Arabidopsis thaliana: one gene and its partner. The protein of the gene in region 2 interacts with the protein of the main gene of each other region in a biochemical or structural test. Each region holds a gene or a part of one and is shown on either strand. Other genes may lie near its edges.

Region 1 (7,412 bases), on a different chromosome or scaffold from region 2:
GTTCACTATTGGAAACAGTATACACAATACTCCGGTGAAACGAGTAGACATGGTTTTGGGAGATACACGTGTAAGTTTTCATATTATAGCGTATTATATTTACAAATATTAAAACGCTAGTAGATTGTCAACTATCTGAAGTATAGTAGAATACATGGTCACACATGTCAAGTAAACTAAAAGATATTTAGCTACCTCACGTATATGGATTGCATGACCACATATACGAAGTATAGGGGTGTCAAAATGGGTCAAAATTCATGGGTCAACTCAACTCAACTCAACCCATGAACGTAATGAGTTGAAAATATTGACTCAAATGAGTTGATGGGTCAAATTAGTTATTGGGTCAATTGGTTTGATGAATAAAATAAATTGGGTTGTAATGGTTAATGGTTTCAATGGTTTACCCAATTAACCATTAAGTTTTGTAAAATTGAATTAAACCAACTAAAATCTCTAAATCAATGTCCATTTAAGTTGAACCAACACATCTAAACCAATTTAATAAAATCAATATTTTTCCAAATTTCTTAAATATACAAGCGATGAAATTGAGAAGAAGTAAACTCGTAATTTTTCCACCAAAAAACACAAAACCGTAATTTTCTCTCCAAAAACGAAAACCCGTGATTTTCCCACCAAAAATGTAAACCCGTAATTTTTCCGCCAAAAAAAACATAAACCCGTGATTTTCCCGCAAAAAACGTAAACCCGTAATTTTCCCGCAAAAAACGTAAACCCATGTTTTTTCCGCCAAAAACGTAAACCCGTAATTTTCCGCCAAAAAAACGTAAACCCGTGATTTTCCCACCAAAACATAAACCCGTAATTTTCCCGCCAAAAACGTAAACCTGTAATTTTCCCGCCAAAAACGTAAACCCGTAATTTTCCTGGCAAAAAAATGTAAACCCGTGATTTTCCGCCAAAAACGTAAACCCGTAATTTCCCCCCAAAAAAACGTAAACCCGTGATTTTCTTGCTAAAAACGTAAATCTGTAATTTTTTCGCAAATAAAGTAAACCCGTAATTTTCCCGCCAAAAACGTAAACCATTGATTTTTTCGCCAAAAACGTAAACCCGTAACAAGTGGAATCCGTAAATATCCTAAGTTTGATGATAATGAATTAATAATTATTAATAATTATTTATTATTATTTTATAATAATTATTAATTAAATTGTTACTTAAATGGACCCATTTAACAACTCAACCCATCAAATGAAATGAGTTATGGGTTGACCTTACCCATTTAACCCATTTAACCCATTAATCATTTAACTTTAAACTCATTTGATTATGAGTTGAGTTGAGTTGGGTTACCCATTTTGACATCCCTAACGAAGTATATGACGTCATGTAGTTAACATCAAAAGGATAACATCGCTGGACAATGGGTCATTATTGAAAAATTTTCTGTGTCTCAGACCATGGGAGAATTTATGGCGATGAAGCAATAATTACCGAATAAAAATCATTTACTCCATGATTTATAATACCAATTAAATAGTTTATAAGTTATTCTTTTTTATTTTTTATTTAAATTTATCTGTATATCAAATTTCATTTTTCGTGCATAAAATTTTGTACCAAACTACATCATTTCACATATGTAAAAAATATCCCTCGGGATTAGTTCTTTTGAGTTTAATTGATTTTGGTTGATAATATATATATTATATATATATATATCAATCTCCATTATACCAAAGTTAAAACTATATATTAATATTATTTTAGTTGATATTAGTAAAGGTTAATATAAATACAAATTAATATTTTTAGTTAATAAAATACTATATTAGCAAAAATCTGGGATAAATAATTTGATATCTTGTCAACATTTTGATACTTCGATAAATAATGTATTAATGTGTTATTTCTTTTTGTCATTATCTACAAAATGTCTAATGTAACTAAAATCTATTTGATAAAATGATGTGTAATTTTAATCATAATGTTTTACAAAATGTCTAATTTAATTAGATATGTTTAAAATTAAATATAAATTTTATTAAAATAATATTAAAATATTAATTTTATGTGGATGAGATAATCATTGGGGCTCACTAATGGAGGTAAAATTGAAGTATGAGTTTTTCTAAATAAAACATTCAAAAAATATAGTCTAATATAATTGAGATATCATGTGGGTATCTCACCAATAAAGATGATCTAAGCGTTGTCTAACAAAACATTATAACCACCTAATATTAAACAAATGTCAAACTTCGACATTACAACATTTAGAATATTCCCAACATTTTTATGCATTAAATTTTATATGTATATTTAATCCGGGTCAAATGGCACCCCTTTCTCCTTAGTGGATCTGCCACTTAACATCATTCATTTTCAATAGGTTTGTGAAGGCAAGACTTGTCCCCTTAACGGCAAATAAGATTGAAAACGACTATCTCTTGTCACACACTTCGTTATGTCACGAGCTATACGGTTACTTTGACTTTGAGGCATCACTACCTTGAACTTATACACCACTAGAAACTTCGAACTAGGTTGTGTATATGGCCAAAGTATGTCCGAGAACGGGCGCAGGGTTATTCAGAGTTTCAATAGATCATGTCAGCTTCGAAAGAATCCACAAAATATAACACAATATTGCCGTAATCTTGTTAAGGGTATGTAGAAAAGCATCGTAGCCCACGCAGCAACACCACATACAATAAAACTTGAATTAGTCCATGAAGAACTCACTATTTACATTCTTTGGGCTTATTATTGGGTTACAAAACCATCTTTGGGCTTATTATTGGGTCACAAAACCATCTTTGGGCTTATTATCAGTGATCCATAATTATTCCTTTGGAACTTTTTTTTATTAACCCTTTATTTCTCATTTGCTCTCACTATCGTTCGTTACGTCTCTGTAAATCACTGAGAAAATGGAACCTCCAAAGGAACAACAAAACACGCCGGAGAAATCAATCTCCGATGCTCCAGCCACCATATCCTCCGCCTTTCCTCCTTCCGGATGCTGCACAAACTGCGGCGGACCAACGATTTCAGAAGCACCACCACCACTAGCTTCATTCCCAGAGATGTCACCACCACCAAACTATCGTCCGATCCGAGCTCCAGCAATCAATCTCCCACACAACTCTCAAGCAATAATCCTCTCTCCCGTTCCTCACGCCGAACAAGTCCCCGTCGTATCTCCGCCCTATCATTTCCAATCTCCCGTCAAACGAATCCACTCTCCCGACGATATCCGCCGATTTCACGAATCCGCTTCTTGTAAGAACTTCTTAGGATTCGTAGTATCTCTCTCAGAATCGATCCGTGGATTTAAGATCTCAGATCCTTGTCATATCTCACCAACCGTCGCCGCCATAGTTTCAATCCTTGAAACATTGTTACAATGGATCGATGAGATTCCTCCTGCTCAACAATCAGCTCGATACGGTAACGTTTCGTTTAGGTCATGGCATGAACGGCTCCGTGAGAGAGGTGAATCGCTTATACTTGAGTTTCTTCCTGAGGAATTTAAAGAATCTGTGATTGAGATTGTTCCTTACTTCTTCGATAGCTTTGGGAACTCAAGTAGGATTGATTACGGAACGGGACACGAAACAAATTTCGCGGCGTGGTTGTATTGTTTAGCTAGGATGGGGATAGTGAAAGAAGAGGATTATCATAGTTTGGTTGCTAGGGTTTTTGTTAAGTATTTGGAGTTGATGAGGAAATTGCAAATGGTTTATTGTTTAGAACCAGCTGGATCTCATGGAGTTTGGGGACTTGATGATTACCATTTCTTGCCTTTCATATTTGGGAGTTCTCAGTTGATTGATCATAAGTATATGAAACCGAAATCGATTCATAACGATGATATTTTGGAGAATTTCTCTAGTGAATACATGTACTTGTCTTGTATTGCATTTGTGAAGAAGGTTAAGAAAGGTTTGTTCGCTGAGCATTCGCCGTTGTTGGATGATATAAGTGGTGTACCGAACTGGAAGAAAGTGAATAGCGGTTTGCTTAAGATGTATAGAGTTGAAGTGCTTGAGAAAGTTCCGATTATGCAGCATTTCCTCTTTGGCTGGCTCATCAAATGGTATGATTCTTCTTTTTTCCTTTTGTCTCGTTTTTAGCTGATCTCTATTGCTTTAAAATAGAAACCTTTGGTTGTGTAATGGTTTGTCGATTGGATTATCTATCTTGAGATTAATATCTAGAATGATATTTCATGTTGGTGATCTTAACCTGTGATGATATTGTGAATTCATTGATGGCATACCAACTTTAGAATAGATGATACCGGATTTTCTAGTATGCGGTTTCACATTTGTGATCATTAGTTGGATACTTATGGAGAATAATTTGCTGAAAACTGATGTGTAACAGCTGCACAATATTGTTTGCGCCATTGTCTACCCAAATTTGCATCCCATTTTTCATTAGACATGAATATTGACAGCTTCTCATTGGCCTCTATAGCTAAATCTCTTGTTGAGTTCTACACAGCTGAATCGTTCGTTTATTTTGCGCCAAATGTTTTAAAACATTATCGTGGAATCTAATTGCGTAAAAAATGGTGTTGGCAGGGAAGAGTGATTTACTTCAGTGTGCCATACATGGAAGCAGGGACAGCGATTTTCTCTTCCTTGAGGTTGCTTAACATAAAGTAGAGACGCTTTTGCTTTTGCATGTATCTGATAGGCATGGTTTATCTTTGGGTTTTTTTTTTATCATGCCATCTTCTTCTTGTATTCTCTGCGTTTTACAACTTCAGATTGTCTTTTTTGATGATTCGCTTCTGCCTTAGGTATCTAATAGAGTAAAGAACCAGATAAAGGGGAAAGGAATGTTTTATTCAAAAATCCTTAAAGACCATAATTTCCCTCTAGAGTGAATCTTCTTGCGCCTCGGTTACAACCGAACAATGAAGCTAAAACATTCTTGCTTGCGTCTCTCAATATCAGGAAAATAGAAAATACCCAAGTTATCTCCTTATGTGTACTAGACTACTAGTGATTCTCTTTCCTAGTTTTATGGCAAGTTCATGTAGTTACTGGGTATCTAACTTATTGATGCCTGGTTCTATGCATATCGATGCGACAAACGGCTACGACAGAGTAAAAATATAATTGTGAAGTTGATCACTTTGGCTGAAAATGATCACTGCGAGTTAGGTGTTGTTGCTGTTTTAATCGTTATTTTGTATCCACTTTGCCAAACCATATCAAAATTAGTCATTCTCTGAACATTCTCTATTTCATTATATTGGTTGCGAGAAAAATAGACTTGAATGTACACAACCAGCTGTATATAGTAGTTTCATGCGAGTCAATCTCTCTTTTTATGGTAAGAAGATCTGATACAAGTTGTCCTATGAAGATTTTTAAAAATCTAATTTTTTTTTTGTGATGGTAGTATCAATTTTGAGAATATGTGTATGAATGGAACTTGAATTAGAATTGCTGAAATTTATATGAAGCAAAAAGAGTATTGATGAGATAATGTCAGTACTTTTTTTTTTTTTTTTTGTCATATATAGTGTCAGTACTTTAGGAACACAAAATGATGCTAATTTAAATAGAAGCTAGAATGAAGAAGCACATAATGAAACAAATGTGTATATTTGAAATGAATATAGTATGTTTTAAGATGAGGAAAACAACATGAGGGTGACTTTGTCGCTCATGAGGAGAATGCAAATTATCAAAATACTTATCTGGTAAAGATGAATTTAATCTTTTGTTCATAGAAATCGTAACATTCGATGATGCAATCTCCCCTTCAACTAAACTGAGTCTTGTTCTCTTCATAGATATATGATCATCGTGAATCATTCTTTCTTTCGAACATAAAAGTCTAGTTTTCTTCATAACTTTTGTAGATGATTCATCTCAATAAATGTATGACAAAACATAATTTTAATTGGGATCTATCTTCATCATAGACATTCTCCTTAGATGTCTATCTTTAGCGTGTTATTTGTTTTGTCGATAAAAATATTTTCATGCAAAAACCCAGTAAAATAAAAACCATGATAAAAAAAAAAAGAGTTTAACCACGCATATCATTATATTTTTCTCTGTGAAGCATCATCTTCGAAAAATTATGATCTCCACTTTCTGCTACTTGTTGGGTTCTTGACTATAAGAGAAGAACTTTGGAAGAATATTTTTATTTATGTCAAGAGAGAATAATACCGACTGAATTCGATATCTACATCAATTTATGTAAACAATGTTGTTGGCTCTTTACTTGTACCTATTTTGCATACTTCTTGTGAATGGTAGGACATTAATCTGAGCCATAAAAAATCTATACATGCCTCATGAAAGGAATAATTTTGGCATGATTTGAACAAGTGACAACCAAATTTTGTTAATGTGAATGCCATGAATTTGTTGTTTTGTGTTATATATTTACAGGGATCCAATATGCATCTTTCATCTTCAAAACTAACAAAACCAAATTTGGAGTTGTAAAATAAAATAAGCCCAAGTAAATTGTACCTTGTAGTTAAAGAAGACATGTTTTAATTCATTTCAACGTCTCTTTGTAGGGAATGAATTAGATCCTACAAGTAGATTACTATTTTTTTTTTTTATTACTTTTGTTCATATTAGTTTGATATTTTAGGGTTCTTTACTTGTTCATAAAAGATTGATTTTGTAAACTTTATCTAATCTATTTTCTATTTTAAATTAATCAATGAGTATATTTTGGGGCAAAAATATTGAATTATCAAATTTCTCATTTATAAATTACTCTCGGATATTAACCATTTGTCTTTGTCATCTGTAAAAAGGACTAATTATTTTTTTACCTTTTTCTTGTTTTTTTCTCTTCTTATTAATCGTTTTTACTCTCTTTAATATTAAACCAATAAAAAGAAGCTAGAAAAAAGATAAGCAAGAAGAAGAAAGCGATTTGAGTATTATTCAGTCGATTTAAGTACGTGAATCTACTACTCGTATATTTAATATGAATAAGTTATAATATAATGAAGAAGATGAACTGAAGAATGTTCAACCAATTCCTGTGATCTAACACTAGCTGGAGATTTGATTTGAAAAAGTTAAGATATAATGATAATTTATTTTTTTCTCTAATTTTTCTCGATCCATGTTTACCTCTACTTCAATAAAAAAACCTTGGTGAGCCTTCTAAGACATTGGTCGTCACTAACTTTGACCCATCTATAAGAAGATGATATATCAAAAGGTATACGAGCTGAGTAAGTAATAATACATCTCTACAATTTTTCTTCCAAAAATACTTTTACCATTGCTAATATGTTTTGTTTTGGCAGCAAAATCGTACAGAATCAGATCTTTGTGGAAAATATGCATCAAACGACAAAAAGTATTATGAAATACAAACTGACCCACTCGTGATGATCATTGCATGTATTTTATGATACTATATAGAAAGAGTTATTC
Region 2 (7,088 bases):
AGGTGAGACATACATTGCAATCTGCAGGCATTGTAAGAAGCGACTTAGCGGCTCAAGCGCGAGCGGGACTTCGCATTTGAGGAACCATTTGATTAGATGTAGGAGGAGAACTAATGGTAACAACAACGGTGTTGCTCAGTATTTCGTTAAGGGGAAGAAGAAAGAGTTAGCTAATGAGCGGATAAAGGATGAAGAAGTGCTTAGTGTAGTGAATGTTAGATATGAACATGAGAAAGAAGAACATGAAGATGTTAATGTTGTGAGTATGGGTTTGGATCAGAGGCGGTGTCGATTCGATTTAGCCAGGATGATTATCTTACATGGTTATCCGTTGAGTATGGTTGAAGATGTTGGATTCAGAATGTTTATTGGAAATTTACAGCCTTTGTTTGAGCTTGTTGCTTTTGAAAGAGTTGAATCTGATTGTATGGAGATTTATGCGAAAGAGAAGCATAAGATTTTCGAAGCGTTGGATAAGTTACCTGGGAAGATTAGTATTAGTGTTGATGTGTGGAGTGGTTCGGGTGATTCTGATGAATTCTTGTGTTTGGCAGCGCATTATATTGATGAAGGATGGGAATTGAAAAAGAGAGTTTTGAACTTCTTTATGGTTGATCCATCTCATAGTGGTGAGATGCTTGCTGAAGTTATAATGACGTGTTTGATGGAGTGGGATATTGACCGGAAGTTGTTTTCTATGGCGTCGAGTCATGCTCCTCCGTTTAGTGAGAACGTAGCTAGTAAAATCAGAGACCGGTTATCGCAGAATAAGTTCCTTTACTGTTACGGCCAATTGTTTGATGTGAGCTGTGGAGTTAATGTCATTAACGAGATGGTTCAAGATTCCCTGGAAGCTTGTTGTGACACAATAAACATTATTCGAGAGAGTATTAGATATGTTAAAAGCTCAGAATCTATTCAAGATAGATTCAACCAGTGGATAGTTGAAACGGGAGCTGTAAGTGAAAGGAACCTATGCATCGATGACCCAATGAGATGGGACTCAACATGCACCATGCTGGAGAATGCTTTAGAGCAAAAGAGCGCGTTTTCGCTCATGAATGAACATGATCCTGATTCCGTGTTATGTCCATCTGATTTGGAATGGGAGAGATTAGGAACAATTGTTGAGTTCTTGAAAGTCTTTGTTGAAGTGATAAATGCATTCACAAAGAGCAGTTGTTTACCCGCCAATATGTACTTCCCAGAGGTATGCGACATACACCTCCGGTTAATTGAGTGGAGCAAGAACCCGGATGATTTCATTAGCTCTCTAGTTGTAAACATGAGAAAGAAATTTGACGATTTCTGGGATAAAAACTACCTGGTTCTAGCCATCGCTACCATATTAGACCCGCGGTTCAAAATGAAGCTGGTTGAATACTATTACCCTCTGTTTTATGGTACTAGTGCTTCAGAGCTCATTGAAGATATTTCTGAGTGCATCAAACTGCTGTACGATGAGCATTCTGTAGGATCGCTATTAGCGTCGTCAAATCAAGCTCTTGACTGGCAGAATCATCATCATCGGTCAAACGGTGTTGCCCATGGGAAAGAGCCTGACGATAGACTCACAGAATTCGATAGGTACATTAACGAAACAACTACTACACCGGGTCAAGACTCTAAATCAGATCTAGAAAAGTATCTAGAAGAGCCACTTTTTCCCCGGAATTCAGATTTCGACATCCTGAACTGGTGGAAAGTTCACACACCTAAGTACCCAATTCTCTCCATGATGGCACGTAACGTGTTAGCAGTTCCAATGTTGAATGTATCATCAGAAGAAGACGCCTTTGAAACTTGTCAAAGGAGACGGGTTAGTGAAACATGGCGTTCGCTTAGACCGAGTACCGTGCAAGCCTTGATGTGTGCACAAGATTGGATCCAAAGCGAACTAGAAAGCTCTTGAAACTCTCGATTCATCTTATTTTGATCTGAGTGTTGTTTTTCTATAGATTAGATCTCAGCTCCAGCTTGTTTGTTTATTGTCTGTACCTCTCCACAACATTCATATTTATATCTACCTAGCTAGGGCTTTTGCTGTGTAACATGATCATCATTTCTCTGTACAAAGTTGGCTTCAATAGAATTTGGTGATAGCGGTTTCAGTTACTTGGACCAGAATCTTTGCACACAAAAAATTACGGATTTTAAAAGACAATGGAGAGTTTAACAAACAGAAATAGACGTAAGGAATATGAAATTACAAAAAGTGGTTAAGAATAGAAGCAAAAGAGACGAAGAGCTAGTGTGTGGAATTGCAGCTTTAGTTCTTTTGGTACTTACAAAAAATAATCTGGAGTCTTGCGAGTGGTTTCGGGTTCGACTTGACGTGGAGCTGGATCAAACTGAAGGAAATTCTGGTCCATGTTCTCACCGATCTCTAGAATCGCAGCCATGTTGCCACAACGGTAGCAATAGTTTGGGGCACTAAATACAGTCACAACGTTCTTTTCTTGGCACCAATTAAAACCTTCCATGACAAGTTGATGTGCTCTTGAAATCAGAGAGAGTCCATTGGTGTGGTTAAACTGAGTAGCGATATCTTGTCCGAAAGTGTAGCCTGCACCACGAGGAGATATTCCCCAACCGCATCGGTCATCTGGATCAGACCATAAGAGATCACACATTGGTCCTTCATGTGGAACCTAGAGGCAACACAAACATCTTAGTCTCGTTATGTAAACATCAAGTAAGGTGCATCCTTTTGTTGGTTTGGATTCTGGAACTAACCTCTTGAATTCGATCTAAAGATCGGATGTTGTCAAGTGTATCTAAAGAAGGTGAAAGTCCTCCATGTAAACAGAAAACCTACAGAAAAAAAGAGTTCTGTAGTCAAGTCCAAAACAGCAGAAACAGAGAAGAGATTGTCTAAGGTAGTGAAAACGCTCATTAGTTTTTTAAATACCTGACTCTCAATAAGAGCTGTAAGTGGAAGATAATCAAAAAGATCAGTGAAGTGCTTCCATACATTAGCATTTCCATATTTCCTCAAACATTCATCATAAAACCCATACCTGAAAAAGGTAAGCAATCAGCAAGAAACATTTTGAGAGAGGCTGAGAAGCTTATAATACAAAACTTAGTAGAGAAAACAACTTACACTTGAGTAATTTGACGGCTTTCATGATTCCCTCTTAGGATAGTAAGTCTATCTCTGTAACGAACTTTCAGTGCTACCAAAAGTGAGACTGTCTCCACAGAATAATACCCTCGATCTTCACAAGTTTAACAATGATCCATTAGTTAGCTAATTGAGCAACTTAAGTAGGAAACGGAGCTTAAGGCACTTAAACAGAGAAAAGAGAAACACAAATCCGAGTACTCGAACATGAAGCTTCACAAACTACATTAAAATGTTATATCTCCCAAGGTCAAGCTACTCCATTGTAGAAGCCCTGAGAATAGTTAACAGCTAAAACAAAAGTTTCGTCTTTTCAATGACAAAATCTTCCAAAACCAAAACTTTTCGATAGATAAACAATAATCTATCCATTTCTAGTAAACACTTCCAAATAAGTCTACATTAGCCCCAAAAGGTCAACAAAATCAAATCCAAATTAGGGAAAATACCCAAATCCAAATCAAGAGATGTGAGAAATGTAGAAACCCTAAAAAAAGCTATAAGGTAAAGAGAGACTCTCACCAACATAATCACCCATGAAAAGATAATTAGTATCAGGAGAAGAACCACCGATACGAAAAAGCTCGATTAGATCGTAAAATTGGCCGTGGATATCACCGCAGACGGTAACCGGACATTTAACCGGTTGAACATTATACTCTTCCACAAGAATCGTCTTTGCGTGCTCACACAACATCTTCACCTCCGTTTCAGATAACGCTTTACACTCCATAAGCTGCTCGATCTGACGATCGATATCTCCGGTCGCCGGCGGCATCTTTCTCCGATCTAAAGTAAATATAAACAATCCGGATTGTTTTTAATCTCGGATCCGGTTTGTGTTTGGATTCAATCTATCTATCATCATCATCACTCCATGGATTTAGAAGAAGAGAAATTGTGAATTTCGATTTTTGTTGGAACTTTGTATTTGTTTTCTTTTCATCGGAGTTGATAATTAATTATTCTCTCCGGCAGCCGCACCGAGTCAAAGTCCATTGTGGGGGTCTGACACGTGGCTTTCATTTTTTCAGGCCCATTCATAGGGTCGTTAATCGTTTAGCCCATTTGGCCCAACGAAATTGAAAGAACTATAACATAGCCCACCATAATCATAAAACTTTAACCATCGTTTAAACTTTAAAGCTTCGTTGAAACTTGAAACTCATAAACTTTTAACCTTAAATGTAACTCCTAATTCCAAATTAGTAAACCCTAATCATCATTTTAACGTAGTCGAAGCTCAGACCACTGAACCTTATCGTACATGCGAAAGTGTTCGCTCCAAAAATATGTCCCAAGAGAAAAATGTAAGATAAGAGTATATGACATTTGGTATGCGGATGAAAAGTTTCATACAAATTAAACTATTTTCATAATTTTCCTTTAATTTATTCGTTCACCTTTATTGTTGTCTTTGTAATTAAGTAACTATGAATAATTGTTAATTAAAATTTCTAGAGCGATAGGAGCAGTCGTATATGTTTAGTTCAAATGTTCCAGCTTTAAGACTGGTCTTCAGTTACTTTTGATTATGAAGACTGGAAGCCCAAAAAAAAAAAAAAAAAAAAGACAAAAAGAAGTTGATTGATTATTATGTCTCTGTTTAGTCTGTCTAATGCGTTTGGTAATAATTCAAATTAAAGATATTCAAACTCTTGAAATTGTGAACTTTAAAAGTGAACATGTAGGGATCATATATTATATATATGTTTAATTTTGCTTAATTAAGACAGAAAAAATAATGGTATTATATATTTGCTTTACCATGCACATATGTTCGAGAGTTACTTGTAAACCATTTTATATGTGGAACTCATGTTTTAATGGAAGAAGACATTTCATGTATCAAGTTTATCGTGGATGGTTGTAGAAGATTTTATAGAGCCGAACCGTAAACTCATGATTTTGCTATATATTCTTGCTTTTCTTTATTTGCAAATAATTAATCTACATTATTTGGTTAGTAATTCTTTTTTCAAGAACCTTCTCATCTCATAACTAGTCATACACTACGATAAATTGTAATACCGGTTCTCATTTTTTGTTCTTTTCATTTTAATACATATTAGCATATGTTGCGTAGTGTGTATGTTGGTGGTGTAGTAAATTAGTAAGCTAAGTCTAATAGTTTTTTGTATTTCAAGATTAGTAAAATTAATTTAGAAATTAGAAATATATGGAAAATAAGTGAAAAAAGAGCGAGAAAATGAGTAGTGGTAGAGTTAACCCCACAAAAGAACAAAAGAATAAAAGATGGGAAAAAAGCATAACACAAAGAAGCATTGTGGTCTCCTTTATTTGTAAGAACCATTACACACATTCTCCTTTTCAAATTTCGGCATTTAGAGCTCAAATTATATCATATATATATGCCATTGCATTTATAAATTATTAATATCTTATGTATCCAATCTTTGTCGACATCTCTTTTATTTGCCCCTTTGGAAGAATATATGCTTTCAGAATACATCAATAAATAATGGATTCGACATTTTTTTTAATGATTGGATAAGACTCTTTCAAAGTACAATTGTTCTTTACAAAAAAAAAATCCATCTTAATTCTTTTTTTTTCATTCAAAACATGTGATAAGAATCATATATTGTCTATATATAGAACCATTTTGTGCGAGTGTTTTGGTAATCTACAATTTCTAATCGTGAATATATACACAAGGGTCAATCAGGTACGTAATTATGATGTTTTCATTTGTTTTAAAAAAACACACTTGTGCGCGCTCTCTCTAAAATACCATGTTATTTTGTCTGCCAAATCTGAATTGAATTAGCATGTTATTTAGAACAACATAGGGTACTGCTATTTGATAAGAAAGCATGTTAGTAATAAAATAGTACCCATTTTGTGTTTTTGCACATAAAAGGAGTACACAATTATTTACCTAACTTAATAAATGTTAATGATCATTTAGTGCAAGTACCCAATAAACAATGTGAGTAAGGAAATAAAGCATCTAAACGTTATTTGATGATGGATCAAATTAGAAATAATCCCAATATAAGTCGTGCAATGCGTGAGAAAACAGGATTGCATTGCATGTACGTATACTTCTTTTCTTTCTTGAAATCCTTTTAATAATCAGTGTCTTCATTTTTTTAAAACCTCCCCTAACTAGCTCAATATTTCTTCACTATAGGAACAAAACAAACATTTAAAAAAAAAAAAAACAGAATTGTAGGGTCACAAATATTTTGCGCATATTTAAAAGATTCGATCCCAAATGAAAGGAAAAGAGAATCTAGCAGCAATACAAGACCTATATTAATTTGCCAACAATTATACTTCTCTCTCTCTTTCTGCTTCTTACCCAAGCTTTAACCGTACTTATGCTCTTCCTGGTGGTCGTCTTGAATTCCCTGCTCTCCTGTATTAAGACAGAACATAGAGTTACTTAATCCAAGTCATGTTTTCTTGTTTTTCTTTACTTTCGTATAAACGATAACAAATCATACAACATTAATTCATTAATTGATATTTTAGTGATTTAGTCAATAGACTACTTTAATACGATCTACATGGAATTAACTGTGATCATAAGTGGGTTACCTATATAACTAAGAAAAAAAAGGGAGTGTTCAAAGGGCTAAAGCTTCCATAAAGGAAAAAAGAAAGTTTTTAAAAGAAGCCATCTTATAGTGAATAATTAAAAATAGATTGTTAAACGTAAAGACTGAATAAAGCTAGCAGACAGCCTTTTGCGAGCTTCTGTGATATGTCTCACCGAATCTGAGTTAGTTAAAAGAAACAAAGTGTTTGTTTTTTTAGTAAAATTGTGCTAGAAGTATATTTATGGTGACCCGAAACAAAACTTATTATAACATGCATAAACATATAGACAATCAACGAGTTAGCTTGCTTGATTTCATCTAATATAGTCATTTCTAGATGTCATTCATTAATCTCAATATCGAATTTATATCTAGACCATACTAAGAGCATG

Evidence for each region.
Region 1: the proteins of PP2A (region 2) and AT4G08960 form a complex in vitro, tested with the Arabidopsis thaliana proteins (one study listed by BioGRID).

The regions. Positions count from the first base shown.
Region 1 is NC_003075.7:5,743,423-5,750,834, forward strand, and holds AT4G08960 (phosphotyrosyl phosphatase activator (PTPA) family protein), read left to right. Parts: upstream 1-2,848; 5' UTR 2,849-2,903; coding exon 2,904-4,072; intron 4,073-4,562; coding exon 4,563-4,572; 3' UTR 4,573-5,087; downstream 5,088-7,412.
Region 2 is NC_003070.9:26,346,607-26,353,694, forward strand, and holds PP2A (serine/threonine protein phosphatase 2A), read right to left. Parts: upstream 4,092-7,088; 5' UTR 3,906-4,091; coding exon 3,650-3,905; intron 3,222-3,649; coding exon 3,107-3,221; intron 3,021-3,106; coding exon 2,912-3,020; intron 2,815-2,911; coding exon 2,737-2,814; intron 2,652-2,736; coding exon 2,286-2,651; 3' UTR 2,115-2,285; downstream 1-2,114. UniProt on the Arabidopsis thaliana protein: Associates with the serine/threonine-protein phosphatase PP2A regulatory subunits A and B' to positively regulates beta-oxidation of fatty acids and protoauxins in peroxisomes by dephosphorylating peroxisomal beta-oxidation-related proteins.